Linked DNA regions of Drosophila melanogaster. The protein of the gene in region 1 interacts with the protein of each later gene in a pairwise test. Each region holds a gene or a part of one and is shown in the gene's direction. Other genes may lie near its edges.

Region 1 (9,876 bases):
AAAGGCAACGTTCTACGTGGAAATCCAGTTCTTTTTTCCGCCTCTTAAATTTTCCTGCTGTGATGCACACGCACCGCCAGTGTTACCAGAGGGCGACACCTGTTGCGCTGCCGTTGATCGATCACTCTTATCGATATCGTTACCAATCCAGCTTATAGGCTTTAAAAAATTCTATAAGCTTGTATATCGAAAATATTAATACTACATTAATATTATTAGAAATCGCAATGCATTTTTAATCTTAGTCATAAATTAGGGTGGATATTAACATTTCCCAATGCGAAGAATGCATCTAGTAAGATGTTTCCGGTATTACAGTTTATTTCATCCTTTCAATATCTGGTCCCTCTCTATTTATAAATAAAACCCGCCTGAAAATTACACAATTTAAATGAACGGATCGAAAAGCAACTTTAGAGACCTTAAAACGGATTCTTAACGTGAATTAAACAACAAATCTAAAAATAATAATATAATAATATATATATATATATATATAATATATGAAAAACAAATAATTGTTTTCCAAATATGACCAAGTATTACGGCTGACAGTAATGCAATAATTTGTTACGAACTGCTTATCCTTCGTTATTGCAGTGCCTCTAGCTCAGGCTTACCACACAGCTCGCAATAGAAATATCGATAACTATCGACGTCTCACCACTCTGCACACCTAAGATCTCAAATAATCAAAGGAACAAAAAAAGGTAATCAAAAGCATTAATTGCAAATGAACATACATGCGCACCCACCCAACCTAGGATGCCCTGAGGATTTTACAGTCATCACCCAATATAAATAAATATAAATATAAATATACCAAAAATTACAAACAGTTGTCATCCTGAATTGCCCATTTTGGTCGTTAACCGCGGTTCATGTGGAAAATATCCTAGTCAGAGGCAAACGAGTAAGAATTTCAAAACAATATAAAAATATATATGATATTAATTTATTGGAATTGTAATTTATTCAAATAAAATTAAAAGTGTGGAAGCGGAGACAATTCAGGTCTTATTCGTAGAGTGAAAGAATTAAATTTAATTGTAAGTTGCAAAGCGAATGCTTAGCAAACCCTTGACTGAAATTTACTTCTTTATGTGTTAAGCTAAAGAGGGCTCCTCTTATGTATTTCTATGAATTGAGTGGATCGTGCATGGATGCTGGGATAAGCCAAGGATTTGAGCTTCGTAAGCGGTTTTGACCCTTTGGTGGGAGTCGTGAATGCGGCTGCGGATGTTTATGTCTGGTGGATTGGGTGCCCTCTTGAGTGGATCGCGCATGGGTACTGATCAGCCGAGAACTTCAGCTGCGTTAGCGGTTTTGACCCTTTGGTGGGAATAGCGAATTCGGCAGCGGATGTTAATGTTTACATTAGGGCAGGCTGGATTTTTTATTGTCACCAGAATTGGGGTTCTTATGGGATACTTGAATTTATGACTTATATCCTAAGGCATTCTATGATTTGGTTTATGCAAAGACACTAGAATAACAAGATGCGTAACGCCATACGATTTTTTGGCACACGATTTTTTGGCCGTGGCTCTAGAGGTGGCTCCAGGCTCTCTCGAATTTTTGTTAGAGAGCGAGAGAGCGGAGAGCGCTACAGCGAATAGCAGACAACTGTATGTGTGCACACGTATGTTCATGCATTGTAAATTTGACAAAATATGCCCTTCACCTCAGAAGTTCTTAGACTTTAAATCTATATTATTTTTGATCAATTGGCACCATGCGAAAAAATCTTGTTTTGCATTGCAAATCCTGATCGTCCTCGCGAAGCAATGCTTCACGGCCATACCGCGGGGGGTCCTGGATTTGCCCTCCTTACTTTTACATTGTTAATCTGTTAATCTTAATCTTAAATGTTCAATAGACGAATTAAAAAAAAAAAAACCTAATCCTGTGTAATCAGAGCACTGGGGACGCGCGCGAGTAGCCGGGCGAATCGAGTTAACGCTCCTGGAAAACCCGAAAATTTTCCGTGTCGCGGCAGCTAAATAGAGACAGGAGTGACTGTCTCTAACACACAGTAATAGTGTAAAAATCACGGAGCAGACCAATAGCCAACCCCTCCGCTTATGAGTCCCCCGTCGGAACTTCACCCTTCACACCCAACCCTTAAGTCCATGACGCTGCGCTTGCTCTCTTGACCAGCCGGGCAGCAGCATAATAAAAACCCATTTTGCGTCTGAGCCAAGGTGGCCGGCGGAATGGTTTGTGTCTGAGCCTCATCGGCCAGCACCGTAACCATCACCTGGCGAATGGTATAGGGCCGCACACCTTGCAGTCCAAGGTTCTAAGGACCCCACCCTATAAGCCAAACGATGGCACCCCCAAGGGGCCATTATAAGTGACCTCCCCCCCAAACAGAGCCCAACCAGCAAGGCCCCCTTTTCTAGAAATCGAGGAGATGGGAGATATATTATACAACGGGGTGAGGAGCATTAATCTGGCAATGAAGAACACATTTGCCAGATTGAAGGATCTCCAACTAAAGCTGCGCGTGAGGCTGCCGGAGGAGGAGAATTCGCATGCCAAATGCACCGCAAGAACTGATGCTAGCCAACAGACCATCCCTAATGGCCTCTTTAGCTATGAAGAACCGAGTAAGGGCAAAGACGGTGTCAAACCAAAGATCGCACGGTGATGTCCAACGCCCTGCACTCCAAGGAGCTGAAGTTGGCGTTGCCGACTCGACCAGCAAGACGGTAATAATGCTGCTCAAAGGTGCCTTGAAACGTGCGACACATACTGAATATGCCATCCAACTGTTTTTCTGTTTTTTATTTTTGTTCTTAGCTAAATGTAATATGTCAAATAAACGAATTTAAAAAAAACCTAATCCTGCGAACCAAACATAGGTGTGTGTTGTGATGGAGGCAACTCCTGCGCAGGCGCGCGATGTCCGTAAATGTGGTGAGCATTGCCACGAATTGTGCGCGCCAAACGCAAATTTTCCTGCTGCGATGCATACGCACTGCCGGTGTGACCAGATCGGTCACTCTTATCGATATCGTTACCAATCCAGCTTACTAGCTTTAATAAATTCTATAAACTTGTATATCGAAAATAAAATTATTATTAATATTATATTAATATCATTTCAAATGGCAATGAATATTTAATTTTAGTAATAAATTGGGGTGGATATATGCTTTTCCGAATGTGAAGAAAACATCATCCTTTCAATATCTGGTTTATCCCTCCCGTCTGAAAATTGTGAAAATACAAGCGATTCCACATTATGAATAAACGGATCTAAAAATCAACTTTAGATACCTTACAATGGATTGTAAGTTGCGTTAGCTTAAGTATGACCTGCAATTAAACAACAAATCAAAGAAAAGTCGTCCCGAGCGAGGAAAAAAAATAATATATGAAACACAAATAATTGTTTTCCAAATGACCAAGTATTACGCCTGACAGAAATGCAATAATTTGTTCTTACATTTATGTGACCCTATCATCATCGAATCATATTTCAAATTCCAATTCCGATTTCGTTATTAGGACATCGGGCTGTAGCCCTGGGTATCGTAATCGATAGTTGCGAAATAGCAGTCAGCGATAGTGTCTGACAAAATCGACGTTGTTCCACCCCTAACAAAGAGTGGTGATCTGAGCGCAGTCGGTTGATTTCATTTGGTTTTTTTTTTAATTATTCGTGTCGCCGCGATCGGATCGGATTTCCCATAATCTCTGAGCGTTCCGCCTATCCTTCAAGTGAAATGTCGCTGAATCCGCAGTACGAGGACATTGGCAAGGGATTTGTGCAGCAGTACTATGCGATATTCGATGACCCGGCGAATCGGGCGAACGTGGTTAATTTCTATAGCGTAAGTGTTGTTGCTTCCCGCTTCTGCTCGTCGCCTTTCATCTCTCCTTTATTCCCGTCTCCGCTTTCGCCTGCACATTTTTCGCTTGCCATCCCCATCACACGCACAGGTGACGCGCGGCGCGCCCTTGAAAAATTCCGCCTCCTTTCAGCAGAAAATGAATAAAGAAACTGTTGCAATGCGAAAAAGAGCGCGAAAAAGAGCAGCTGGAGATATACGGTCGGCGTATCCGTGATATCGTGGGAATAGGATGAATGTTGATAGGGGCGGGGGCAGCGTTCGATTCTCGAAGTTTCGGGTGACACATTACGCCCATGCTCGCATAAATAAATACACACATACGAAATATATGGCCAACATACAACTGCGGTTAGCACAATAGGGCCCAATATACGATATAAATTCGTGAAAAAATTGTATTAATATCTTGAAAAATATGGCATAATTGTGTTTCATTAGTTTCAATCAATTCAGTTTTTTTGTCACATAAAAGAGTAAATGAAAGAATAAAAAAGTCTATAATGATAAAGTATTGAAAATAAAACTATCTGTTTGATATGTTTTTAATTTAAATATTAACAGTTTTATAACCAATTTTGTTCTTAATAATACGAAATATCATTACTAAGTAAAACATCATCATAACACTTATATCATTATATATTTTATACTTCCAGGCTACCGACTCATTCATGACCTTTGAAGGCCACCAAATACAGGGGGCACCCAAGATTCTGGAAAAAGTTCAGGTAAGTCCTGATTATATACAGTCATGGGCATATGTATAATATTTTGCATACCCTTCCTATTCCTGCAGAGTCTGAGCTTTCAGAAGATTACCAGAGTGATAACCACAGTGGACTCGCAGCCAACTTTCGATGGCGGAGTTCTGATCAACGTCCTTGGAAGACTACAGGTAAAACCAGAATTCTCAACAAGAAAACTGTCCTAAACTCGCTGTCGGGGGGAAATTCAATGACTGCCTGCGGCGGCGGTTAGAATATTAGCACTGCCGACCAATTCAATCGATTTTCTTTTCAAGTTTTGAATTTTATTTTTGGTCTTTTCAACACGTAAATGCTTGACAATCGTTTTTGTAACAAATAGAACGTTTTGTTTTGGCTTTCACATAAGAACATTATTTATTTTGCACTGTTTCCCATTTATTTGTTATCATGTATGGGCTTTATTAAGCCTGCCACTTTATTCCATTAAGTGTTCTTCATTCTAAGATACATTATACCCGTTACTAGTGCAGTTAAAGAGTATACTATATTCGTTAAAAAGTATGTAACATGTAGAAGCAATCGTTTTCGACAAAATGTAGTATATATATTCTTGATCAGGATCAATAGCCGAGTCGATCTGGCCCTCTCCATATGAACGTCGAGATCTCAGGAACTATAAAAGCTAGAAGGTTGATATTAAGCAGACCGATCCTAGAGACACCGACGCAGCGCAAGTTTGTTGATCCATGTTGCCACGCCCACTCATATTGTTCAATATGAAATTTCGCGTTCTCACTTCCAGTCGGAAAAGTCGACCATAGCATTCTCTCTTGTTTTGAATATAATATCCATTGACTTATTGATGCAGTTATAGTAGGTAGATAAATGAAATGAATTTTAAAAAGAGTAACTGCCTCAATGTATTTTACGATACCTTATTGTTCAAAGTGGATATATGTAGAGACGTAGAAGCAAATTTCAATCGCCCATCACTTAAGATATGAAATCATTCATCATTCTTCCGTAAAGTCGTAAGGGCAGTGCTATTTGCCGACCGCCGCTGCATCTATTATTCCATATAAGTCACCTGAATCTGAATCGAATATCTCAATTCTGGTTATTACAAAACGAAACACAAATGCCAAAACAAACCAATGCAGACCGACGAGGATCAGCCGCATGCCTATATTCAGACCTTCGTATTGAAGCCGGTGGGCGGCAGTTTCTTTGTGCAGCACGATATATTCCGACTCTCGCTGCACGATGTGTAGCACCAGCGAGCCCGACCTGCCACGCCCAGTCCACAGACTCCAGCGCCCGGCTATATGTGTGTAAATCGAGATCGAGATCAGCAGCCAAACGATCAGCCAGCAGACACGAGACGAGAGCCAGTTAAAAAACGAAAGAAATCCATATCTAAGCGATAAGATAGTTCTGCTGCTTGTCGACCTTATGCCGCCCAGCCATGCCCACTCCGCCCACATATACAAAAATATTTATCCTTGGCGTCTCGTCGTCGTCCAATTTCTTCTAATTATTCTCACAGTACGTGAATGTCCAACGAAAATTAATCAAATCAAAATGTTGCGCATTTCATTTCGTGCATGGTTTTCGTTGATTTTGAGTTGGATTTGCTCTTTCTTTCGGTTGGTCGCTGGGGACCTGGAACCTCCTAATAATGCAATTTTAATGTAACACAAACAATTTCTGTAACCTCTATTGCTTTACATTTTTAACTAAACGGTTTATATTTATATTATATTTTTAGATGCTTTCAATTGATATTGCACTTATAAAAATTCTGTTTTTCATTTGTTACAAAACCAAATACCAATTGACTAGTCTTAACTTGCATATTGTTTTGTTCAATAGCTCGAAGAAGAGAACTGTAAATATCCCAAATTGTTAAGCGCACCCTAATATGCCTTAAAAAAAAAACTTTCAAATGTTGTTCAATTTTGAATGGAACTGAGGAAAGTTTTGAGAAGTTCTTATATCAGTGAATAATAATTTTGCTCGCACATTTGGTATAAAGTTTATTCTGCTCGTGAAAATGTTTTGGAGTTATGTTCAATTTATCGAGCGAGCCCTGTACAGTAAACACGCACCTTACACGATCAATCGGCTGCCAGTTGTACACCCTTTCCCTCTGACCCTGGCTTCAAACTGTGTGTACTCCATTCATATCTAACTCAATACGTTGAAATTGGTTTTTCGCACGCTTGTGTTATTGACTTTAAATGTGACTGGTTTGCCTGGCATCTGCTAACGTATTTATGATTTCATTCCTTTGCAGTGCGATGACGATCCCCCACATGCCTTCTCGCAGGTCTTTTTCCTGAAGGCCAACGCAGGCACCTTCTTTGTGGCCCACGACATCTTCCGTCTCAACATCCACAACTCTGCCTAGGAGCACTCCACTTACCTACGTATGCACACCACTCAGCACCACACATAATCGACATCCAAAGATGCCCAGCGCCAGATGATAACAACAAGCTCGGCAGTGGAACTCAGAAAAAAAAAATATAACAAAGCCAGCCAGCGGTCTCACGATTATCAGCAAATACAAAAGTTAGAAAAAGAAAAAAAAAAAAAAAACAATAAAAAAATAAGAAAATAACGCTAACTACTATTACGATGTCAACAAAATGGGCCGCCAGCTCACCTTCATTTGTGTCCCATTGTTGCCGGTACTCTCGCTTTACGATCCACGGAACCCTAGAATTATATGTTCTGCGAACACCTGGATCTCGCGATCTAATTTAGCTAGGACTATCGAATTTGGTGGTATGTGCCGTGCTACAAGCTCGTATTTCGAATTCCCGTGAAATGAGCAGGAACAGCAGGCCGGGATCATCGCCTACATAAGTTTAGAGTGATTTTCTAGACCGTTTATATTTCCAATTGAATTATTTGTACTTTAATTATGAGGATTATTTTAGATAGCCGTATTGCAAATGTATTGTGTCGAGTGTCTCGCTCTGTAAACAATTACTTGAGTACCGGGACTGCACCACACACAGTCGCAAGTATCGACTCTTGCTTTCTCATATGACTAATTGAGCGATGGCGAATTACTTTTTATTGAGAGAAAAAAAAAACACTTAAATATAAAGATAAACGTTAACAGTTTGGTTGTTTGTATGATTGGCGGAATGGCCAGTTGAACCGGAAAGATATGTATACCCTTATAAGCTATTAAATGCATACGAAAGAAGCTCCAGCGGATCTGGCCAGTGGTTTCCGTCTAAAAACTGAACGATTCACTTGTCGCGAAATGTGAACACCGCATCGAATCCGAATAGCACCCCATTGACGATGGACAGCGAGGCCTTGATGAGCGCGAGATCCCGAGTTCGGGTGCGGAAGGAGAACTCCCAGGCCTCAATGATGAACACACCGCTGGCCACGAACAAGGTGCAGCCCAGGACGCTGAAGAATATATCGATGCGCTTGTGAATGGGTGCCCGCATCAGAACGCCTGCAATTGCAAGGTATCTTAAGTAGATTTGTGTGCAAATTTCGTTTTTGGTTAACTTATTTTAGTATTTTAACTCTTAAGGACTGGCATTCCAAGGCGTACCTGCAAAGACCCCGATGACCACTATGATGTAGCCCGTGAAGGTGCCAGTGGCCAGGAACGAAGTCATTATATCGCGATCGTTGAAGCTGTAGAAGTGGAGCACCAGACACGCTACCGCAAAACCCTGGAAAAGTGAGGGGATTTTCATTTGTGGTGCTTCTTGGTGTTCTTATAATTTCCGAGTCTATCTGGTATTTCGGGTCTTTTCTTTTAATTCCCAAGTCGTTTTTTTTTTTTTTTTTTTTTTTTTTGACAAACCATTGTTTAGTAAGCATACGCGTTGCTTTTTGCATTAATTCATTAATCCTTAGAACTTGCAGTAAAATCACTTGAAAAAAAAATCCTTTACCAGTTCGAGAAACTTGACCACATTGAGGCGGCCTTTTCGCTCGCCATGAGACATTTTGTGAAACTGCTGCCGCTGACAGTCCTCGAAAATGTGGTCCAGCTTGAAAATGTACGTGTCGCAACTCAAGAAAGTTCCAAAGTTCTTCCGATTGGCCTCTTTGGAGCGTGCTCGCGACGGCAGAGCGCTGGACAAACTGATTCTGATTCGGAAATGGATGACGGATGGCAGGCAAATGCGGCTGCAGTTTGCAGTTGGGCGCAGTCGGGCCCAGCCAGCGAAATTAATTAATTACACTTAGGAAATAGGCTTTTCATTCTTGTTCCCATCCCTGTGTATCCGCCCACGTCCACCACGTCCGCCGGGCCTCTCGGTTCCATCTCTGAAGTGGAGACCGTCTGCGTTCTCCGCTGCCAGCTGCACTCGAGCCCCATCCCTTCCAGCTTGATTGAGTGGAGCATAATGTCTGTATCTGCATGCATGCTCTGTGCCGGTGGGTGGCCAGTGGACAGTGGGCAGCCGCCCAATGGACTCGGACTCATTGTGCTCGCATTGCCATTACCCCAAATTTGCTGCCTAACCTTCGGGGCCCAAGATCGGAGCTAATTCGCGGAATCGGGGCCAACGGGTCGCCAATTTTCCGATGGTAATCAAGTGGATAATGGAAAACATATCGCCGGGGAAATCACTTCCTCAAATCATGAATAATCTTATGGACTTCATGGGAATTATTAGGTTGTAAGGTTGTGTTGCAACGCTTTTCAGATATAAAAGTGGATTTGTAATGCATGGAATATATTTTTTAATATATTACAAGTACTGTACTTTTTAAGTGCAATTAAAAGCTTAGAGCAACATAAAAAGTAAGCCGAATTTTATATACCCTTCACCTATAGTAACTTAGCTACCACTAGCTTGGACGACTACAGTCGTCCTGTTTTAATAAAATGTATTTTATTTCTATTTATTTTTCCTGTATTTTTTACGAACGTTAAACTGCAAATCCCATTCCGCTCGCTCCTAGTTCAGCTAAATTATATAGTTTATATAAAATTAGATTAGTAATTACATTTCCGACCCGGCCTGTTATTGCCTTATCTAATACCTGCAATAGGTTTAATAGTTTAAGTAAATACGATTACGTGGAAATAAACAGACACGGTAAGATTTAGTTGGGTGTCAATTCTGACTAAAAATATATATCTAAGTAATATATACTTTGTTCCTGACTAAAACAATAACACTTCCTGTGTTCTATGGTCAATTTGAAAACATGCAAAATAAGTTGTTACAGCTGAACAAATCTATTTTTAATTTTTAAATTAGTTCTCTATAGAGTGTTTATGCCACATGTTGAACCTATTTATCTTAACT
Region 2 (6,250 bases), 6.9 Mb from region 1:
TATGGGTTTTTAGAAAGTGCGAGTGGGGCTCCGTTTTTCGAAACACGACGTTCTGTGGGGGCCATCAATCTGGGCGAGTGTCTCGAACGAGGCCAAATGGATCTCTTTTTGTGCGCCGGCCCATTTCTGCGGTTGAAACAAGAAAAATGGTTGCTCCGGTGTATAATGTGTTAAATTGAATGTTAATTAGTGGAACCCCCTTAGTTTTTTTCCCCCTTTTTTTTGGGCTTTGTGCGGCACAAACCCCCCCCCCCCCCCTCCCTCCCTCCATTCCCCTTGAGTCCGACGCTAATAAGCCAGATTGAAGAGACCACAAAAAGGTGTCCCAAAGTAGTTCACCCGCCGCAAACCCGTTGCGTGGATGGAAAAAAATATAATATCGTAAATGAGCCAAACCCGTTTGCATGTGCGATTTCGTTCGATTTTTATGTTGAATTTAATTTTAATGTGATTTTCCGTTTGGTAGTTTAGCCAGCCCCCTCCCTATATATGCTTTTTAACCTCCGCCCTGATTAGTGTTGCCATTTTAGCCATTTTATTGCCAAAACCATCTAACTAAGTAAGCTCTGCCAATGATCTATGCTAGTTAACGTTTCAAGTTACCATTTTTTTTTCAAAACTCAGTTTTTAAGAAGTAAGTAAATATTTAACAAGTCGGCAGTTTTAAGTTGTAAATAGGTGATTAGCTCAAATGTTAGTATCTAAATCTTTTATATTATTACTTATTTTGCATTGTGCTACCACTACTACTTAATTGAACATTGCAAACGGTCTGGTGTACATAAACAATTATAAGTGAAGCATATTCTTAATTGAAAATACTTAAACTTTTTAACAGTTTTCACAATTAGCTGCCAACTTATGTGGCTATGTCCCCTCAGCCCCTCAGCACCAGTCAGCCGTTTGTTTGTCTTGATTTCATGGTGACGTCTTTTGCGGCGGCTTCTTCTTGGTCCGCTGGCCGCTTAAGCCTGCTCTTCTTCTTGCCCGGCGTCTGCCGTTAGTGCCGGTGTGCCACCGCTGCAGTTGGAACGGGCTCTCCAAAACCGGGGCTTTTCTTCGAAGACGGCCGGCAGCTATAAATTGACTGGCGGCTGGTAGGGACCGGCATCAGTCGCAGCCTCTAGCTCATCCAGCACAGTCGCTTGAAAACGCAGAAACCTCAACTCAAGATGGTCAGTGAAGGATTACAAGTTCAGCTTGAAACAAGGATACATCGATTTAACAATATTATTTGACAAAATTTTTTTTTTTTTTGCGGTGCTTAAAAAATTTGCTGTGTTTGTAATGTGTGAAGTGTGTTGTCCTACTTGCAGAAATTCCTTATTGCCTTCGCCCTGTTCGCCTGCGTGGCCGCCGATGTTAGCCACCTGAGCAACGAGTACCTGCCCCCCGTCCAGAGCTCGTACGCCGCTCCCTCGGTGAGCTACTCCGCACCAGCCGTGCAGCAGACCTACGCCGCTCCAGCCATCCAGCAGTCGTATGTCGCCCCCAGCAACGAGTACCTGCCTCCTGTGCAGACCTACTCCGCACCGGCCGTCCAGAGGACCTACTCCGCACCAGCTGTCCAGAGGACCTACTCCGCCCCCTCTGTTAGCTACTCGGCACCCTCTGTGAGCTACTCGGCTCCATCGGTCAGCTACTCCGCTCCTGCTGTCCAGCAGTCGTACTCCGCTCCATCGGTCAGCTACTCCGCCCCTGCTGTCCAGCAGTCGTACTCCGCTCCATCGGTCAGCTACTCCGCCCCTGCTGTCCAGCAGTCGTACTCCGCTCCTGCCGTCAGCTACTCCGCCCCATCGGTGAGCTACTCTGCACCCTCCGTGGATGTGGGCACCCAGTACGCCTCCAACGGTGGCTACGTCTACAGGAAGTAGGGATCTTCAACGAAGAGGCCTGCAACTGAACACGAAACAGTGTCCATAACTACATACTGCCCAAATTAACCATATATTTTTTTTTTTTGTTTTGTAAACTTTTGTTTACAACGAAATAAACCGAAACATCAATAATCCAAATAAATACTTTTGTTTTTAAAATGGGTTTCAGAGTTATAAAAACAAGCGTCTAATATTAATATTAATAAAATTTTTAACAAGTGTATCCCTATTCACTTTATATCAAAATTCCGGACCAGGATACCAAAATAGCGTACTAAAAACCACGCGCGACTTGAGTGCGGTTTGGTTGCGGTTTAGGTGCGGTTTTGTTGCGGTTTTGATGCGGTTTGAGTGCGGTTCGTTTTCAAAATCGAACGTCAAAAGCAAGTGCTTGTTGGTGCTTAATACTTCAGAGTAGACAAAAGGTGGCACTTTATAAGCCAATAAAAATATAATAAAGTATACGAATGATATGTCCATACAAAGTAAAGAAGATTTATTGGCATTAGTCTATAATGGTAATTTTCAAAATTAAAAAGCTTAATTCTTCGACTAGTTAACACTAAAACCTGTAGGACAAGAACATAAACATTTAACATACATCAATGTTTTAACTAAGTATTAGCGTTAAAAAATATAATATAAAGCTTTAATTAAGTTGGGCTTTTTATAAACAGCTTGCAGCTTTGATTAAACTTGGAAGCTGCGACTATTTTAAGCATTTTCAAAGAGCTTTTAGTTTAAATATAGCATGAAACTTTATGGTTTTCCTAGTTTTAACACTAAGCTTTTGAGTATTTCAAAACTATGACTTGCAGATACATTTTCTGAGAGTGCTTGGCATTTCTGAAAAATTATTTACTCAAGACTTTTTGAAATCATTCAAAACCATTATTTAGTATATTACAGTAAATAAAACGAACCTCCTCGACGTTTTTCCTGTTTTTAATTAACACCCTTTTGCTTTCAGGTAGTAATTTTTAAAATTTAATATTCATCATAAAGCTGAGCAAGAACTTGAATCTAAATCAAATAAAATGTTACCCTTTCATTGTTCTTTCTTTTCGTTTATTGAATCTTTTTCATTATCGCCTCTTTTCTTTGTGCGATGCTGAATTTAACATTCGATTTCGGCGTTAGTTTATTTATGTAAAATCCGGCCGCTAAATTAAATTTTATAGTTCAGTTTTGGCACCTCCCCTCGCACCTTCGATCACCTTTGGATTGGCGATTATTTATGGAACCTTTGTGATGATGCAAAGCAATTTCCGTTCGCCGAATGCGAAAGTGAAATGAGCCGGCCGCGAATTTATGTAATATGTTGATATGCCGTCTTATATATGGCGGATTTGGGGCCCGTGGCCGCATAGCCACCGTCGCCGTGCAAGTTCCCAGAGATCAAACCGGAGCTCGAGATGATGCAGCCATGGGCCGTTGTGGTCCTACTTCTGCCCCTGATCAACGGAGATGTGAGTCACCTGCCCAGGGAATATATACCGCCCAGTGCGGAACTGGAGCCAACCACACGGTCTGCTGCTGATGGCCAGGAGGTGCAGAAGGATCCATCTGGATTCTATCCATCGACTGGACTGCCACTGCCGCCGGGCTATGCCATTCCCACGGGCAGCAACGTTTTGCCACAGCCTGTCCAGCCGCCAAACTTCCCTCTGCCCATCTATCCACCATTCTACGGCTTCGGCGGAGGTCCTGTCGAGCAGGGAGGAGGACATGGTATTGGGCCAGTGCCTTCGGCCTATCCCAACGGAGGTGCATTCCCGGCGGGTCCTACCAATGGAGGCGCATTCGCAGGGGGTCCTACGAATGCGGCCTTCCAACTGCCACCAGGTGGTCCTTTCGGTCCGCAAGCTGGTAATTTTGCCCAGCCAGGTGGTTTCCCGCAGGCAGGTGGGTTTCCCCCACAAGGAGCTGGCTTCCAGCCACAAGGCATCCCTGGCAATGGATTCCCAACGCAAGGAGCTCCCTTCTCACCACAGCAGGGAGTGTTCCCATCACAAGGAGGTGCCTTCGGGCCACAGGGAATACCGGGCAATGGTTTCCTAGGAGGTAACTTCCCGCCACAGGGAGGGCCCTTCCCAGGATCCGCATATCCACCGGAGTTCTTGACAAACCAGGGACTTCCCCTCACAAATCCCCAGGGTCCCTTCCAAGGACCCAGTCCAGCAGGATTCAATGTGCCCGCAGGATTCGGCGGACCTGTGCCCGGCCAGAATCCCTACCAACAATTTGGACCCGGTTTCGGAGGACCCGCTCCGCCGGGCTACTCCGATGAGCCGGCGAAGGAGCAACCAAAGGACAGTGAGAGGACAGTAGTGGCACCACCATCGGCCGACGATCCCAAGAGTGTGGCGGATACGGTTTACGCATCCAATGGCGGCTATGTCTACAAGAGGGCCAAGTAATGCGATGGCTTTCGAAGCCCCAAATTGGGGAGTTCATCAAACATGTTCGCCATAAATTATGATCCATATTTTGTTTTTTTTTTTTCTTGTATTTTTTGTGCCTTTGTTTTTATTCATTTATTTGATCTGCTGGCCATAAAGATGCGGACAGACAAAACGATTGTCTCTATGCTAATCGAAATCTTTGCCAAAACTGACTGATAACCATAAACGAGACAATCTATCGTCGTGATTGATACATATATATAGACAGACCTATGTTTTATGCATACCCTGGCCAGACACATATGTGTTCATAAACTATGTTGTCTTCAAAAGTCAATACAAGGCGATTAAAGGCTGAAATAAAAAACACGATTAGTGGTTTGGGTGTGGACTAAAACCGAAGTCCTACGATAATTATGCACATTCACCATCAAGGTTTATTGAACTCTGATATGTTTCTGGATGGAATTAAGTTTAAACAAAATGGTACAAGAATTAAAAAAAAAAACATCCACAACTTAAAAGCAGTAATAGTTTATCATGCAACAACAATGGATCATTAAAAATGGATTTATGTTTATCATTTCATATTCTAAAATAAATCCAACTTAAAAACGAATAAATTCAAATGATTGTCTTACATGTATAAATTTTGAATTGACGTCACAGAAAAGAGGTAGAGAAAGAAGCTGCCCACCTAAAGGGCAAACTTAATCGATTTAAGTTAATTTCAGCGAAATTCAAAGAACCTTCTGAGTTAATTTTAGCTTCGCGATATTTTTTTTTTTTTTTTTAATTTGCCAAACTAGTTTCTGACGTCAAAGAGTTTCCCCTAAAGAACATACATACATTTATGATAATGAACTTCTTTTCGTGAACTTAAGATGGTTATCGAAAAGGGGATTTTTCCATAGTTTAAAACCAGACTTATTCAACTCCCATGTTTGGTTTCAAAAGTCTATAGACTTCAACTAGCCCGAATTGATTTTTTATTCATCTTTTTTTTTTTTTTTTGATGTCTCCACTGAATTATTTATATGTGGCTTTTGATTGTGTTGTTGTTATACAGTAAATACATTAAAAGTCTTTATAACAACTTTTTTATGGCTTTGCCAAATGGTAAAAAATGTCTTTTTGTCTTTTGGGAGAGCTTTTGTCACCTTTTATGACACGCTTCATCAACTTACATTAGTTGGTTCATATACTTACATCAAGTGGTTTATCAACTTACATCAGTTGGGCGGTTTAGTGCTGCTATTTACTTCTGGTTGCTTAACATTCATTTGTATTTAGTGTTTTACTACACTTTCAAGTAAAATAACCTTATAAAGTAAAACAATATATAAAATAATGAACTAATTTTAAAGTATTTTATTAAAGCAGTATTGCTCTTCAGGCAATATATCACTTTTTAACAAACTTTTTTGCAATTTGCTTACTTATTTAGATATAGATTGTAACTAGAACATGTATATTATATCTTATACATCTGAGTTTTTCTATCTTTCACTCAAGCTCAAGCCCTTCCGTTTGTCGTATATGCAAATCGAAAGTGGCTAATCCAAATCAATTCAGCAGCTTTGTTGCAATTTTCGCTAAAGTCGAACTCAGCTGAATATTCATCACGATCGTGAGCTATAGCTTTTGGATATATAGAGGCTGTTCGCACAGCAATTAGTCATAATTAAGGCAGACTGTGCCCGCGGTTGTCAGAGGCCCTCAACTTGACATTTTCCTTTGTGGACTCGAACCTTAACTTGTTTTCAATTTGTCACATTTCTGCGCGTTTTTGTTCACTTTTTTGTGCGGGGCGCGTGTTTGGGGCGCCAGGTGCAAAAGAAGAAGAAAATGATGATGACAATGATGAAGATGAAGAAGAAGTTCGCATTCAAATGAATGGCCTCCGAAGATCCGCATAGTATGGTCTTTGTATTATCTTGTAAGCCCATGACATGCCCATCATAATAA
Region 3 (9,993 bases), 2.3 Mb from region 1:
CCACATGACGCAATGGGCAAGCGAATTACCGAAATCGTGAAATATGTATTTACAACGCCGTTGCTAATGCGCCGTTTCACATAAACATAAAGAACGAGCTGCCAGTTTTTCTTTCGAAAGCCCATTTAATTGTCCGTGGCCCCCCAAGTAGCGCCAACAAATGTCTTTTTAATCACGTCCAACTGTTGTCCTGCCAACGCGTTTGATTTGAAGTTATGCGATGGCCGTGCGACTCTTAAGGATGCACGCTATCCGTATCCTGTCCACAGACAATGGCGCACACTCTGTCAATAACATGGGCCCACATTATGATTCTCATTTCCATTTTCAGTTTTCTGAGAACATGCGACACGCACAGGGATATGGATACGGATGTGGGTATGGGTATGGTGGTATGGAAATAAAGGGGTAACTAGGTGGAGATGGAAACCAGGACATTGTATGCCCACCTTTTACACAACTTGTTGTTTTGCGCGCTTTATGAGCTCTTCCCCGCAAGACAGGGCCAATAAAACGATCCACATGCGACGATAATCGTAAAAAATTATTTTAATGCCCCACCAACGAACCTAAATGCGCAGGAACCCAAGAGCCCAAGAACCTAGGAACCAAGGAAACTACGAATCCCGGTCGCCCCCAACTCACACGCGCCATAAATAGGGCCCTCAACTTATGTATTTGTAATTCCAACTAATTGAAGGCTACAGAAGATGGGGGAATTGGGACAGCTAAGCTAATATTAGGCGGTTACTTATAATGTCCGAGAACGCAGCTCCCTCCAGTGGGACAGGTCGTTAAATAAGCCAGGCGTTTAGGCATTTAGTGGTTGCCGTTTACCGGGAGGACTCCACTCACCTTGCGAGAACTGAAAGAGCTTGCAGAGGAACTCGCCAAAGATGAAGTTTCGCAGCAGGGTGCCCACCAGGGTGACGGGCATGCAGAGCACGCCCAGCAGCATGTCCGATATGGCCAGGTTGAGCAGGAACACGTTGGTTATGGTACGCATCCGGCGATTCTGCACCAGCGTCGAGATGACCAGCAGGTTGCCCAGCACGGCGAACAGCAGAATCATGCTATAGCTGGGTATCAGCCAGACGGGCATGCCAGTGGAAGTACTGGAGCTGGAAGCGGGTGTGGAACTGGGACTTGGACTTGAACTGGTGCCCAGGGAGAAGGCCAGTTCGGTGACCAGGTCACTGGGCTCGGTGTCCATATAGCCATCCCTATCATCATCGCCATAGCTGCTTGTCGCATTGCCCGCCAAGGAGACAGTGCCTCCGTTTCCAGTTCCATTGTAGGGTGCCACGTTGAGCGACACTATGTGACCCGCCGCACTTGGCGCATTGGCATAGTAGTCGAGCAGTGCCCTATAGGCAGCCGCTGCAGCCATGGCCGCCTGGTCGGCATCCCCCTCCTCGTAGTTGAACATCCCGGATGACCGGGTGATTCGTGGCAATCACTGGCCACCACCGCCTGACATGTCCCGTTGCGGGTCACCGAAAAAAATAAAATAAAATTTCACTCAATTGCTATTGAAACGGCGACGCTTGCGCGCAGGCTGGCAAAGATTGCGATATGGAACTCGGGGGTATCCGAGCACACGAGCTGGCGGCTTTGGCTGCCAGGAGAGGGCTCGCCTGCTACCGTTGCGGGTAACGCGTCGTGGGCAACTGACGACTGGCGGACGAGGACGACGCCTCCGCTCCGCTGGGCTAGCTGCCGCAACATGTTGCGTGGGCGATGCCGAATGGCGCAAACTCACCACGGCAACTTGTGGCTAGCAGCATGCTGCCAGGCAGCCCTGTTGCCGGGCAACTCCCATGTTGCGCGGAGGACGTTCCCTGCCGATTGGGACAAATTAATACGGTGCACTGCATCATCCATGGCGTCTGCAGCGGCGGAGCAGCTGCTGTTCGGCCCACGCACCGCGCTAATCATCAAATCAGCCGCATTCCTACGGCACTTGAGTGCCAGAGAATACAATCTCGGCTCGTTATGTGTTTGCACAAATGTTCTGCGCTAATTCCACGGATCGCATTCCCAGCCGACAAGCTGGCAGGGATCAGTGCTGATCTAGACATAGTTTTGGATATATAGCGATTCCGATTAGCACCTATAGCATCTATTTCAAAGACTACCTTTTCGCTTGCAATTGTTGCTCGTTTTTTCGGCGCAGGAAGTGAATGGAATAGCCCTCGATGAAGGAAAATAACATGACCGGGAGCTGCAGTGGTAAGACGTGACTCCACTGGGATACTGGATATGACTATGCCAGGAATCCGTGTTGCCGAAGAAACCCAATAAATCCAATAAATTCATGTTTTGATAGAATAGATAGAATTCACTTCTCGTAAGCCTCTTCACCATCGAGGAAGAGATCTTCTTCAAGGGATTCAGCTGATCCTTAAGGACGTACATAGTTTAGATGGAGGAGTACAGTCGTTGTTTTTCTATCCATCTGACTATACATATATTTGCGCACGATGTTATGGTTTCCTGTGGCCATTGCCAGTTAAGATGGCTAACACGAAGTATTTATGCAAACTTCATTATCATTATAGGAGCATCTAGCAGACTAAATTTTCTCGCGGTGTACGCATAAAACACTAGCCAACATCTGGCTTTTTTTGGTGTTTCCGAAATGCCTGCACTGAAAATGAAAATGAAAATAAAGCCAAATGCGGCGACATCGTCGCAGTTCGCCCGCTCTCGCTTGCTCCCCACGCAGCCGTCTCTGTCGCACCTGCTGTTTGTCTAACAGCTGCCGTGGGGCCTTCTGGCCAGTGCATCTCGCTCGCACGCACGGCGACTGCGCCGCCGACTTCGGCGGTCGACGGTCGGCACTTCATTCGGAGTTGCAGACGCCGGCAACGCCGCATTCGTGAGATACAACTCGTGGTGGTCGGACGAAGTTCAGCGGCTGCTCTAATATCTGGATATCTGGAACTGTGCTGGTTCTGTCCATCGCTCTTTGTGCGCTTGGATTGTGTTTTTTTGTTGTTTTTCTGGCGCTGTGTATTTTTGTTTTCGTTGTCATTGTGCCACTCTGCCACTCTGCCACTTTGTCACCTTGCAAACGGTCAACTCTTCCCGCCAGACCAGCACTCCGTTCCCCTTCGAGACTCACCCGCGATCCCAGGAAGCTGTTCCCAAGAGCACCAGCATCCCAGCTGCGCATTGAAAACCATATCTACATCCACATCCAGAACACAGCGCACCAGCATGTCGGACGGCATCGAGGTCGAGCAATTGGTGGAGAGCAAGCCGAGAAGGGTGAGTAGTGGGGAGTGGGTTGGGCACACATGGAGTTCGAGTTGGAGTTGGAGATGGATGGAGTCGGTAGTCCTGCTCCGGGCAGGGACCATGAAATGTGTGTGTATACCGGCAGGGGACGACCGAAAATTAAGAATTATAAAAGATTGGATGGGGCAGCCAGAAGTCCAGAGAGTCAGAGAGCAGGCCGGAGAGATATCTTATAAATGCACCGAAAGAAAACGGGTACTCAGTATGCTGATCACTTTTAAGGCTGAGCCAATCCGATGGCACAACCTTAAAATGGAAGAAAGTTCTAATCACCACTACATTATAAATACCTACAATTAAAGAATGCTAAAAAAAAATAATATTCTCTTGAGAATAATGATCGATTTTCGAACTTTAAATTGTTCAAATATATATTGAAAAATATTGGGGATTAGTAGAAATATACAATAATATAAAAATTCAATTACCAACAGTGGTATTGAACTCGGACATTGGCTTTAAGGATACAAAATACAGTTTTCTTCCGGTGTACACACTGGAGTTGCTGAAGCCCAGGCCCATGCGGCGTGTGTGTATATCGCTGGGCATGCGTGAGTGTCTGTAAATAACTCTGACATTGGCTCGCCGGCGACTCCGCTCCACAAGAACCGGCCCCAGAGGGCCAGAGGTCCAGGAGGCGGGGTGGCAGCTGGGTTTTATGGCTCTGGCTGGCTGGGCGGAAAGGGGCAGGGCAGGGCAGGAACAGGGACTGAGTACCGAGGGGCAATATCATCTTGGCTGGATGCGATTGCGGGGGCGGATGCAGATTGTGGGGGCGACTCCGAATCCGAATCCGAACCCAAAAACTGAATCCGAATGCGACGCCTTCGCAGCGATGCATATCAAGTTCAAGTGCGTTTGCAGTGCGGCTGCCGCTGCTGCACTTGCTCGCTGGGATCTCGAGACACCATCGATACCCAACGAAGACGCTGCGGTTAATGCGGCGCAGTCCGTCGCCCTGGCAAACACGTATAGCTTTCCAGATTACGGTATTTAGCGGGCACTGGGAGCTGGGTAAATGGTTGCAGTGCCATTATCTTGCGGGTACTTCGTTCAGCTGATCGCAAGATCTGCGTTTCATGTGACTTTTGGTGCACAGCACTTGTTCGCCAACCTAATCTCTATGGCATCAAACAAAACGATTGTGCAGGCCAATAAATATTACAATTTCGAGGTTTCCAAGTGCAGGCAAACAAGTGAGTAATAAAAGTGTATGGAATCGATGGGGATATCGGCCATTCCACACCCTTTCAATGCTCGGGAATCGCTTCCTGACGCGCCAATTTTGGTCATCCACTCCCCGAGTCGTCGTCGTCGTCGTCACCTTCAGGCGGCATGAATCACGCACTCGGAACCTCGTTTCCCGCAACCCGCAACCCGTACCCCATACCGATACCCCGTACCCATCAGAATGACCATCCACAACCCCATCCGGCATCCCAGATCCCCCGACTCCGGGCGTCTGGGGCGTGAGCAGCCACAAAACAGTTTGCTCCTTTGTTTCCTGCACTGTTTGTGCTAGTGTGCGTGGCGAATGAAACATCGACGGCAGCGGAATAAAAATAAGAAATAAAATGAAATGAAATAAAGTAAAGTAAAGTGGGGGAAAAAGAACATTGACATATCGGCGGTCCCAGACCCGGAGCAAGTACGTCATTGCGACTGCGCTGCGGCAACTGGCAATTTGTCACAACATTGCCAATTATTTTTTTTGCTTGTTTTATTTATTTTTTTTTTTTTTTTGGACTTAGTCTGGCCAAGGCGAAGCGGTTAATAACCGATTCGCTGCAATTTATTGGTTATTTTCCAATTGCCTTGCCAATGAGTCAGTTGCATCGACCCACGAATATTCCGCATATTGTGTTTTCACTGTGCATGTATGTCATATATATATCTGCATCGCCTCTCCTTTATTTTCCTTTATTCATGCCCGATCGTATTATTTGGAATTTTTTTCGTTTCTTATCTGAAATTCATTAGTCAACATAAAACACTTTCGGTCCACTTGTACATACACAATGAAAAAGCGAATAAAATACAAAATGTTTAGTGCAATCGAAAGTGAATACTCTAACTTTTATTGTTCATACTTCAGTATTTGCTTTATGAGCTCACGATCTATATATACCATACAATTAGATATATAAACTATACAAACAGAGTTAACTTGAAATAATGTCAGTGGTGTATACCAGGCATCGAATGATAAAAGATACGGATATAATACCATTCACTCTGTAGTTCTCGATAGCTTGCTGTTTACTTAAGGACAGGATTATTTACATACAATACGTTCTCATAGATGTTTATTTTAAAGGTATCCCAAGAATTTCTACAACTGCGATACCTTTCACAAGGGTATCAGCGTTGAGTTACGCAGCAAGTCAGTTTCAAGCACCTGGCGCTGGGGATTCGGTTTCGTTTTCGTTAGCAAATTGTTATTTGCTGTATTATGCTTGGTTACGTTTAGCTGCAGTTATAGCCGCGTTTGATGCATCGCCGGCCCGCTCATTGCCAGATATCGATGGATATAGCTATAGATACTATAGCTACATATATCTAGCTGGCAATGCAGCGTGCTGTATGAATGCACACATGGGCATATATGGCTCATTACGTACGAATCCACATATATAGATAGATATAATACATATGTACATCTATCTATCGGATATGGCCGCAAGCCATTTGAGTAGCGCGAATTGTTTGGCAGATGGCTTTCCTGCTGGAAAGGTGGCTAACTCAATGGATCTGTTAGGATTATTGGTGGTTCCAAGTGAAACTGAAAATATGTATGCATATACATTTCCTGTCATCGCTACAAGGTTACTTATCAGACTGTTGCTCACTGTTTTCCATCGAGAATCACGAATCACGATTAACCGTATCAATTATGGACTGGCTACTGTCGCTCGCTTTTCTATGCGAATCTTTCGAGGATGACGCACTCTGACTTTCCTTGAAACTATTGTAGTTTCCCTTTTTTCGATATATTTCCTGAAGCCAGCGCAATATCTCGATTCCTATGACTAAGCGTCAATCTCTGCTGAATTTTTATGGCGTGTAAAATTGGAACAGGCGAGCCCTACAGATTTAACCGGCACTAATTGCCCGGGCGATCCCAAGAACTTTCGGTAATAAATCAATTACAGTTCCTTTAGTTTTGCGACAGTTTTCTTATCAGAGCAAATAGATGGCATTGCGTCAATTCCGGAGGTGGGGCTATCCGAGCCTATCCTATCCGATCTTTGGGTGCACTCCCAGCCCAACTGGAGTGATCTAATTTGTCGTGTTGTCATTGTGTCAGAAGTGGAGATATGGCCATATAGGCATATATATGTATATAGATACATATGTGCGAACGTTATCGGGCTTATCGGCTGGAAACTTAATTTCAGCTAATTTTAGCCAACAATTTGGCTCACGTACCCGTGGAGGTTGCAGGAGGAGCACCGACATTTCTATATACATTTGTATCTGCTATCTTGCTTGTTTGGGGGAAAATTTGTCGGGTATTTTCGGTGGGTCATTCGCTGCAACGGTTTCTTAGTCGTCCGCTCATTTTTGGCACAGTTTGCGTCCGCATCTTGTTCATTTTTTTTTTTTTTTTGCCTGCCTTCCGACTAATTAATTCAGAGCCACGAAACGGGAGATTCAGAGCTGTTCCATAGTTCTATGCGACGCATAGAATACACATACAAACTCCAAGTTCTTACTGCGTCGCGTTGTGAAAGTCGTCGCCCGAAACATCTTTGGGTTTAATTGTTTGGCTTTTGATATTTTCGACAGTCGTCGCTTTTCTAATTGATTTTTCTCACCAGACGCCGTACTCTCCGGTCATTGAACGCATTATAGAGCGATCTCTATCTCCATCTTCCCATCGGTATCTGTATCTGTATCTGTATTTGTACCTTTAGCTGTATCTGTATCCGTATCTCTGGCCCAGCTTCAATGTCTATTTATACGCGAGTCTAGTTCCTGACTCCAAGCCCGATCCATTTGGCTGGCAGTTGGACCAACAGTCATTTGGCTCTCTTTGTTTGTTGTCATCCCGTTCCGACGACCCCAAGTCACTTATCAAATCTCTGACCTGCTTTCCGCCGGCTGCTGATTGAAAATTGTCACGCGTAAATTGATTTTAATGCGGCGATCCGCTTAAGACAATAAGAGTGCACTACGTGAAAGGGTAGTTTTCCGATCCGTACTACAAGTATACTCGTATCAAAAACCATCGATCCAATCGCTTTACACGCTTTCCACGCATCTAAGCTGAGCCTAACTTTGTGCACATAATGCTACCCCAAAGATCACTTAATAAACCACAATTAAAATTAATCTTTAGCTAACCAAAATCGTATTGAGACTTGGTTTTTTACATTTCACTATCAAGCCATTCGAACTTATCAAGCAATTTAAATTCATTTACATATCGATATTTTTAAATCATCATATTTTTGGGCTTTGAACCAGAACCCTGAACCCTCATATGTGTGTGCTGATATCATTATCAAAAATGCTGTAATTTAATATGCGGGTATGTTCCAGTATGTTATCATAATAAAGCCTTTATTTTTTCTTCGAAATATGTACATATTTACATTGGCTACTTTTCCGCTGGCCCGCTGGTATTATGTTTATAAAGCACTAAAGCGGCAACAAATTGCTTTCCGTGAATCTGCCCGAACGTAATGCAAGTGGGCGATGCAATGGCGTGCCTATTCCCCTGGCCGACTTGAGGTTGCCTGACACGGAAACAAGTCGAATTGAATGTAATATAACCATCGAAAGCGAAAGCACCGCTTAAATCTGACTCATAGATGGCGCCGTCAAGAGTACTTGGCCCCGCATTGAGTACATACAATACATTTCGCTATCGATGGGCCAAAGCGGATGATCCATTCGCCTTGGCGAAACGATTCGGACTTGGAATACATGATTAAGATATATACTTCCGTCTGAAAGTTGCTTATAGTTCCCCTCTTCGCTTGCTTATAATCCTCTTCCCCCTTGCTCTTTCGCAGATGCCGCTGGCCACGTCGCTGGAGAAGGACTCGATTCGCGAGGCCTACGAGGATGTACGCTCCGATCTGACAGACACCGAGTGGGCGGTATTCAAGTTCGATGGCGCCCAGATTATTGTACATGCGCGCGGTCAGTGCTTTGAGGAATTCCGACAGCAGTTCGGCGACTCGGAGCGCGCCTTTGGCTACATACGCATCCAGATGGGTGACGAGATGTCCAAGCGCAAAAAGTTCATCTTCCTGACGTGGATCGGGCAGGAGGTGGGCGTCATCCAGAGGGCCAAGATGTCCACGGACAAGGCGCTGATCAAGGATGTCCTCAACGTGAGTAGCCAATAGCTAGAGATGCCAGAGCCCAGAGGCAGAAATAGATCCTCTCATCTCTAATCTCTTGCAGAATTTTGCCGTGGAACTTCAGGCGGGAGTGGAGGCCGAGCTGGACATTGAGCTCTTCCGTGAAGCACTGAACCGTGCCGGCGGCGCCAACTACGGAACGGGCATCCGGGATAACTAAGCGGCCTCCAAGTTACTTTACATATACATTTTTTTTTGCAACTCTTAACTGCTTACCAAACTGCTCCTTTCTCTTTAATTATTATGAATTAATTTTATGAAATTTAAAAACTGTACATTTTATGAAATATTATACAAGCAATTGTAACATTACTGGGTCCTCTTATTTATCGTATAATCATAATCCATAGTGTCATTCAAAAAAGGTAAAAGAAAAGTTTTCAATACCAAATTTCAAGAGCGGATGCAAAATCATTATCAATGCCATACATTTAATTGTGTATATAGTGGGACTGATGAATTACTTTGATGATAAGACAAAAATTTTAGCCACCTAATACTGAATACTGAAGTGGACAGATATGCCAGAATTTGCATTAGAAAATTCAAGTTTCTATAGTAAAGAAATGTTCTCGTTTAAACTAGTCTGGTTTTCTGAACATACGCTGGATGGATCGATTCGAATTTAATAAGCGCGAAATGAAAATGGACTACGTTGTTGAACTAAATACTACGGAGATGATGAAAATGATGAGAAAAATTATCTAGTTGCTTTAGTTCCCGGGCTCTGCCTCTCGCTTCCTAGCGGACCCTGAAGAGTACCGAGTGAAGTGCATCGATGTCCACCTCCACGCCAGACGAGTTTGTGGTCACGGTGCGAGAGCTACGGCCGAGAACGTTGAACAATACTGCTTGGTATCTTTAAAGCATATCACTCACCTGGCTTTGTGCACCGAGCGACGGGAGGAGTGCGGATTAACCAGCACACAGTGCATGGGCTGGTCATCGAACTGACGATGGTGATAGGTATCTACGGCCTTCTCGGCATGTTCCAGTGACTTGTAAATAACTTCGGCGGTGCCGGGACGCACCACACGAGCGTCGTACACTGGGCCGATGTCGCTAAAAAGCTCGCGAATATCCGCAGTAGTCACGTTAGTATGCAGATTGCTCACCAGCAGGCGGTATCCATCCTTTGTGTTCGACGTACGCAGCGACAATGGGGATGGCGAACGGCGCTTGTTCTTCGATGGAGCAGCTGCATCACCATCACTATCAGTACCGCTATCGCTATCCCTAGCACCACCGCCACCAACAGCCTTTCTCCGGTTCTCGTTGGCGTAGATGCCATGAGAAATGTGAGGATCCCTCTTAC
Region 4 (5,662 bases), on another chromosome or scaffold:
GTATCACCATTTAATAGGTATACAGCTCTGAGCGCTCGTTGTGTTGGTGATCAATTGTACGAGGCCGAAGGACAGCTGGTCAATATTCGAGGATTCGTCTGCCAGAGTTGGCCCACATATGCGGCAGTCCGATCGGGACAATCTTGCGCTGGTGGTACGGATGTGGTGCACATCGGCTTCGATGTGGCTGCCGGTTTTCTTAGCCATGTTGAGCTCTGCTACGATCAGCAGGAGCAGATCTCCAGATACGCTCGCTATGAACTGACTCCGGCCAATGTGGCCTACCAAAAGGGTGTTGCTCAACCGGGCTATCTTCGAGGTGACTTCTATAGCGGCGAAGATGTCAATGTTCTATATGACCAATCACACCAGCTGGATGCATTTAGTACGGCCCTGGGATTAGATGCCAGTCAGTACTTTGACAGCACTAAGGATCTCTATTTGACCAGAGGACAGCTGGCAGCTCGTCTTGATTTCGTCCATAGTTCCGCCCAGAGAGCCACCCACTTTTATGTGAACGCAGTTCCTCAATGGAGAAGCATCAATATTGGAAATTGGCTTGCAGTGGAATCCAGTTTGAAGCAATTTGTGGCGGATGAGGCACTTAATGTGAGTGTACATGCCGGCAGCTATGATATCTCAACTCTACCCAATTCACAAGGTGTCCAGACACCTCTGTATCTGAATGCCGAGACCAAACAACTGCCAGTAGCTAAGATCCTCTATCGCATTGTTATCGATCAGGAAAGTCGCAAGGGAGTAGTTCTAATTGTGGTCAACAATCCACATATAACATTGACGGAGACCCTCGAGGATTATGTGATCTGTGAGGATGTGGGAGCGCAAATCGATTGGTTGGACTGGGACAAAGCAAACCTGCAGAAGGGCTACTCCTATGCGTGCTCTGTAGAAGATTTCATCGAAGTGGTTAAGGATTTGCCCACAGATCAACTGCAAACAACAGGAATTCTTGGTTTGACTGATCAAATCTTGGACAATGAAGTGTGCAGCTTTAAAGTGAACGGTGATCTTAAGGATCCGGCTCCTTTATTTGTAGTCAGGAGTGAATTGGGTCATGCGAGATATTTGGAACCGAATCAAGAAGGAGTAGTTCAGCTAAAACATGGAGAAGCCCTTGAGTTCCACTGCATCAATTCTTTCAGTGGACCCTTCTCTGGTTATACCTTCGTCAATTCAACATGCTGGCAACAGCAGAGCATCCTGGCAATGGGCAGTTTGTATCAGCTGCAGGACTTTGTCTGCACTTCCTGGCCAACATACACTGCTCGTCGCTCTGGTCGTCCCTGCAATGGTGGTACTGATCTGCTTGAAGTGGGCTTTCAGCTGTCATCCTCCTCGAGCGACGACTTCCTGCAGACCTATGACGTGTGTCACGATGAACTGAGCGAAGTCACCCGCTATGTGCATCATGTTTTGTACCCCGGAAGTGACCAATATCAGCGATCTGTATCCAGGCCATCCTTTATACCCGGCGACTTTTACGGAGGCAAGGATGTGAACACTTTGTACACCCAAGTTCAACAGAATATCACGGTTTCCGAGATTTTGGGCATGGATGCCTCACCATACTTCAACACCACTGGTAATGTCTATCTGGCTCGGGGTCACCTTTCTGCAAAGACCGACTTTGTCTTTGGGGCCGCTCAAAAGGCGAGCTTCTTCTTTGTGAATGCGGCACCTCAGTGGCAGACCTTTAATGGCGGAAACTGGGAACGAATCGAGGACAGTGTGAGAAAGTTTGTGGCGGATGAAAACATCACAGTGGATTGCTATACGGGCACATGGGGTGTGTCCACCCTGCCGGATGTAAATGGCATTGGAAGGGAGCTCTATTTGGACTTTGATGAAAACAACAATGGTCTGATTCCAGTGCCAAAGTTGTACTTCCGCGTGATTATCGATCGCGAGAGCAGAAATGGCATCGTGCTACTTGGAGTTAACAACCCACATGCCACCATTGAGCAAATCGAAGAGGAGTACATCATCTGCCAGGATATTGGCGCCCAACTGAGTTGGGTCAGTTGGACCAAAGAGGACCTAAAGAAGGGCTATTCATATGCCTGTACTGTGGAGGACTTTACTGCAGTGGTGAAAGACCTACCTTTACAAGACCTGTTTGTCGATGGAGTCCTGGGTGTTTAATATCAGATTTTGTGGGTGTGCAATTTCCAAAAAAAAAAACGAATTTCTTAATTTAAAACCAATAAAAAGACTATCTTAAAGAAAACAGGTTTTTATTGAAGGGTAGCCCTTAGGAAAATGCTTAAAGGCACGTTTAAATTAAGTTCTCATGGGCCATAAAACAGTGAAATCACGTTTAGCTTTTGTTCTCTTTGGAGTTTATTGCATGTTGGACATATTGATAAGAGTAAGGTTATCAAATGCTTGACGTTATCGTTTATGGCCGGGGTAGAGCTATTTATTTACCCAGCCATTGGATTATTTGCTCACGTGCCGCACGTTTCCAAAAGCCTTAATTTTTTCTGCTGTTCCAGTAGCCCAAGAGGCAGTCCCTTGGCCCGAATCGAAGTCCCAATGGCAGTGACTTTCACATTTTCTTATCGAAGCTAAGGAAATACCTTGTATTACTTGTGCGGTTCCCTTTGTTTATCTTATCGCAACACAATCGTCGCAGAACGTATGAAGTATACGCCTGCTTGGTTAATAATTATAATGGACTTTTTAGGGGGTAAACAAAAGGCAAAAACCGTAAATGAAGCAGATAGAAACCAAAATTGATTTATATTGGTCGAGTAATCATTCACTTAGAATTGTTGCGGATTCAACAATGCGGTTAAACTTCGTTTTAATTAATCAGTAATATCTATCAAGGCTGAAAGTGTGTGTTATTTTGTTAAGCAATGTTTATTTACCCCTGTTCAAGGCGTAGTTCAGAGACCGTTTAATAGATAGTTCTATTCGGCTAACCTACTGCTGAAATATTTAGGCAGTAACTTATTAATCGTGTAAGTTTTAATGTACTGCATTTAAACAGCCATACAAAAATATTCAATTAGCGCTGTTTAATGAACTTTTATTTATGTTAGAAAGAGTCAGAACAATAATCATCATATTTCGGTGATTTAATTTTGCAAATAATCATTACCGCAACTCATCAACCATGAAATATCAAAATGATATAAATATGAGGGATTTAGGGAAATGAATTTAGTTAGTTTCGGAATTTTACAAGAGAAAATGGAACTTGTTGGTATATATTTGATATTAGCCACGACGATTGTTGTCCAAGGATACAGAAGTAAGTCAGCGAACAGGATAAGGGATAAAATCTAAAAAATTCCCCACTATCAATACAGAATTTGGACTTAGTTGTGAGGATATTGCCTGTATATCTGGTAAAAAATGCATTGTATCCAGAGTTCCCTGCGAAAACCCAAATCAGCAAGAAGGAGAACAATGTGGAACCTATCCGGAGTGCCAATCAGGTTCGTAAAATTTTGTTTTTTCATCGGTTCACACTGAAATCTGGTCCTTTTCAACTGATCCGTTTCAGATCAGCTGGCCAGCGATTTCATCATCGACACTACACAGACCACTGCCAACACCCGAAACAGCATCATCATACCCAGCACTTCCACGAGTCGCAATCGGAATAATAGGAACAGTGACTTTAAACTGCTGAGCGATTTCAGTAACTCCGATACATTTGCCACCCATGCAGGCCAACGGCAGGCTAATGTTTTGGTTATTGTTCAAGATGGTTCCCAGCAACCTCAACAGCCAAATCCTTGGCTAAATCGAGGACAAAGTCCTCCCTGTACCATCAGTCCGCTCTACCCATATTCCTGTACTTATCCCCGTTATCCGAATTCGGGAGCAGGATTGCCTTCTTATACGCAGCAGCGATCGGCCAATGGGCCACAATTAGTTCCTCCCACTCCACCATGCTACTATAACTGCTATCCCAGTGTGCGGTCAAGTTCATATGGTCAATATGGATACCCCCTGTCTAGATCAGCCAATCCCTCATCAACCAATAACTATTTAATCTACCTCACATTAGCTGGCTAAAAGACCAGGAGCTTTAGTTATGTGCAAATAATAAATATAGAATCTATTATCAACCTTTTTTTTTCGTTTCTATATCTTCGCCAGTTTTGCACCGTTTCCGGCGAACGCCACAAATGCCTTATCAGCCTGTGGGGATGCCAGCTTCAATGCCACCCGGGTATCCACCACCTCGCCCACCGTTTCAAATGCAGCAGCCGCGTCAAGTTGCACCACAATATGTGATTCCACCTCAGCCCAACCCACAGTACGCAATTCAATACCAGGCCAACCGGCAATATGCCATGCAAGGACAACCCAATTCGGCCAATCCTTGGCTCCACTTCTCAGTAGGGATGTCCTATCCAACGTATATGAACTATAATGGACGTTCCGCTGGGAACTCACTTCCATCATTTTACAATCCGTACCCACCCAGTTATAGTACCTATAATTACAATATTAACTTACCCTTTTCGGGTGGATCTTCCTAAGATCTTCGATACTGGTTAAAAAAAATTCAAAGCTACTCAGCACCGGATGGACTCCTTCCGAACATTATTTCATTACTTTCAAATTTGTCGTTCCTAAAATTAATAGCTAATACATATATTTGTCAGCTTCTCTGGGGGAAACGATGACGGATTCCGAAATGGATTCTGATGCAACACTACCACAATTTCACAATCGATCGGCACGTCAGATTCCAATGCGTCCCATGCCAGGACCAATGCCAATGCCAGGAGCGCTGCCGTATCCTGGTCCTGTTTCAATGAATGTACCATCTCCGGGGCGTGCGTATTATCCCTCGTATATGGGACAACCTTATATGGGACAACCGTACATGCCAGGTGCCATGCCCATGATGCCAATGATGCCCCAGGGAGGTGGAACTATGGGTGGTACCAGCATAATTGTGGAGCCCTTAATAATCCTGCCAATGGGCATTGGGGCAGGCACGGGTACGGGCGTGAATCCAAATTCATATTATGGATCGAATGGAGCTTATCCCACGTATAACAATTACAATCCCTACAATACGTACACTACTGCACGACCCAGCTACGACTATAACAATTATAACAACAACAATAATAACAATAACAACGATTACAACTCATATGGTTAGATTTCAATTAAATGATCCCCGAAATCTACATGATCATTATTCATTTACAAATGAATCGAAAGCTGTCCAGGTATGAATATATTGTGTACATACATTGTTTGCCAGGTCATTTAACAATAGATTATTTTCGATTATTAAATAAGAAAAATGTCAAATATAATTGACGATTAATCTTGAATAAAATTATTGAGATACATCATTCGCGAGATAAATCACTTTTTGTTTTAGCTCTGTAAAGAAAGGGGATCGACAAAAGCAAAGAACTTAATGCGACCTAGACCTAAATACACATACATATGTATAAAGGTATATAGATAGAAAGAACTCGGAAGTACTCAAAAAATGCAAACAATCCAATGGTATTATATCTTTATTCTCAGAGAGATTACAAGACAAAGAAGCAAAACGAAAGAGAGAGCGAGAGAGAGAGAGAGATGTAAGATACAAGAGCACGAACTGAGAATATAAATAAAAACACCTGTTCACCAAACAAATAATTCAGTC

The links.
Region 2: the proteins of Ntf-2 (region 1) and CG11581 interact in a two-hybrid assay, tested with the Drosophila melanogaster proteins (one large-scale study listed by BioGRID).
Region 3: the proteins of Ntf-2 (region 1) and CG6891 interact in a two-hybrid assay, tested with the Drosophila melanogaster proteins (one large-scale study listed by BioGRID).
Region 4: the proteins of Ntf-2 (region 1) and CG43894 interact in a two-hybrid assay, tested with the Drosophila melanogaster proteins (one large-scale study listed by BioGRID).

The regions. Positions count from the first base shown.
Region 1 is NC_004354.4:21,031,880-21,041,755, forward strand, and holds Ntf-2 (nuclear transport factor-2), read left to right. Parts: upstream 1-3,589; 5' UTR 3,590-3,734; coding exon 3,735-3,842; intron 3,843-3,951; exon of another isoform or gene 3,952-4,211; intron 4,212-4,519; coding exon 4,520-4,591; intron 4,592-4,659; coding exon 4,660-4,758; intron 4,759-5,730; coding exon of another isoform or gene 5,731-5,841; exon of another isoform or gene 5,842-6,115; intron 6,116-6,866; coding exon 6,867-6,980; 3' UTR 6,981-7,836; coding exon of another isoform or gene 7,837-8,054; 3' UTR 8,055-8,067; intron 8,068-8,135; 3' UTR 8,136-8,156; coding exon of another isoform or gene 8,157-8,280; 3' UTR 8,281-8,505; coding exon of another isoform or gene 8,506-8,559; 3' UTR 8,560-9,588; downstream 9,589-9,876. Other genes in the region: CG15449 (uncharacterized protein), read right to left, coding at 7,837-8,054, 8,157-8,280, 8,506-8,559.
Region 2 is NC_004354.4:14,173,655-14,179,904, forward strand, and holds CG11581 (uncharacterized protein), read left to right. Parts: upstream 1-3,268; 5' UTR 3,269-3,292; coding exon 3,293-4,297; 3' UTR 4,298-4,802; downstream 4,803-6,250. Other genes in the region: CG1368 (uncharacterized protein), read left to right, coding at 1,173-1,175, 1,317-1,874.
Region 3 is NC_004354.4:18,772,357-18,782,349, forward strand, and holds CG6891 (uncharacterized protein), read left to right. Parts: upstream 1-2,871; 5' UTR 2,872-3,222; coding exon 3,223-3,273; intron 3,274-4,141; exon of another isoform or gene 4,142-4,499; intron 4,500-7,276; exon of another isoform or gene 7,277-7,489; intron 7,490-8,324; coding exon 8,325-8,648; intron 8,649-8,721; coding exon 8,722-8,838; 3' UTR 8,839-8,989; downstream 8,990-9,993. Other genes in the region: CCKLR-17D3 (Cholecystokinin-like receptor at 17D3), read right to left, coding at 856-1,429; CG18259 (uncharacterized protein), read right to left, coding at 9,420-9,501, 9,558-9,993.
Region 4 is NT_037436.4:12,887,005-12,892,666, forward strand, and holds CG43894 (uncharacterized protein), read left to right. Parts: upstream 1-2,765; 5' UTR 2,766-3,219; coding exon 3,220-3,280; intron 3,281-3,338; coding exon 3,339-3,467; intron 3,468-3,535; coding exon 3,536-4,053; 3' UTR 4,054-4,101; downstream 4,102-5,662. Other genes in the region: CG14120 (uncharacterized protein), read left to right, coding at 1-2,163.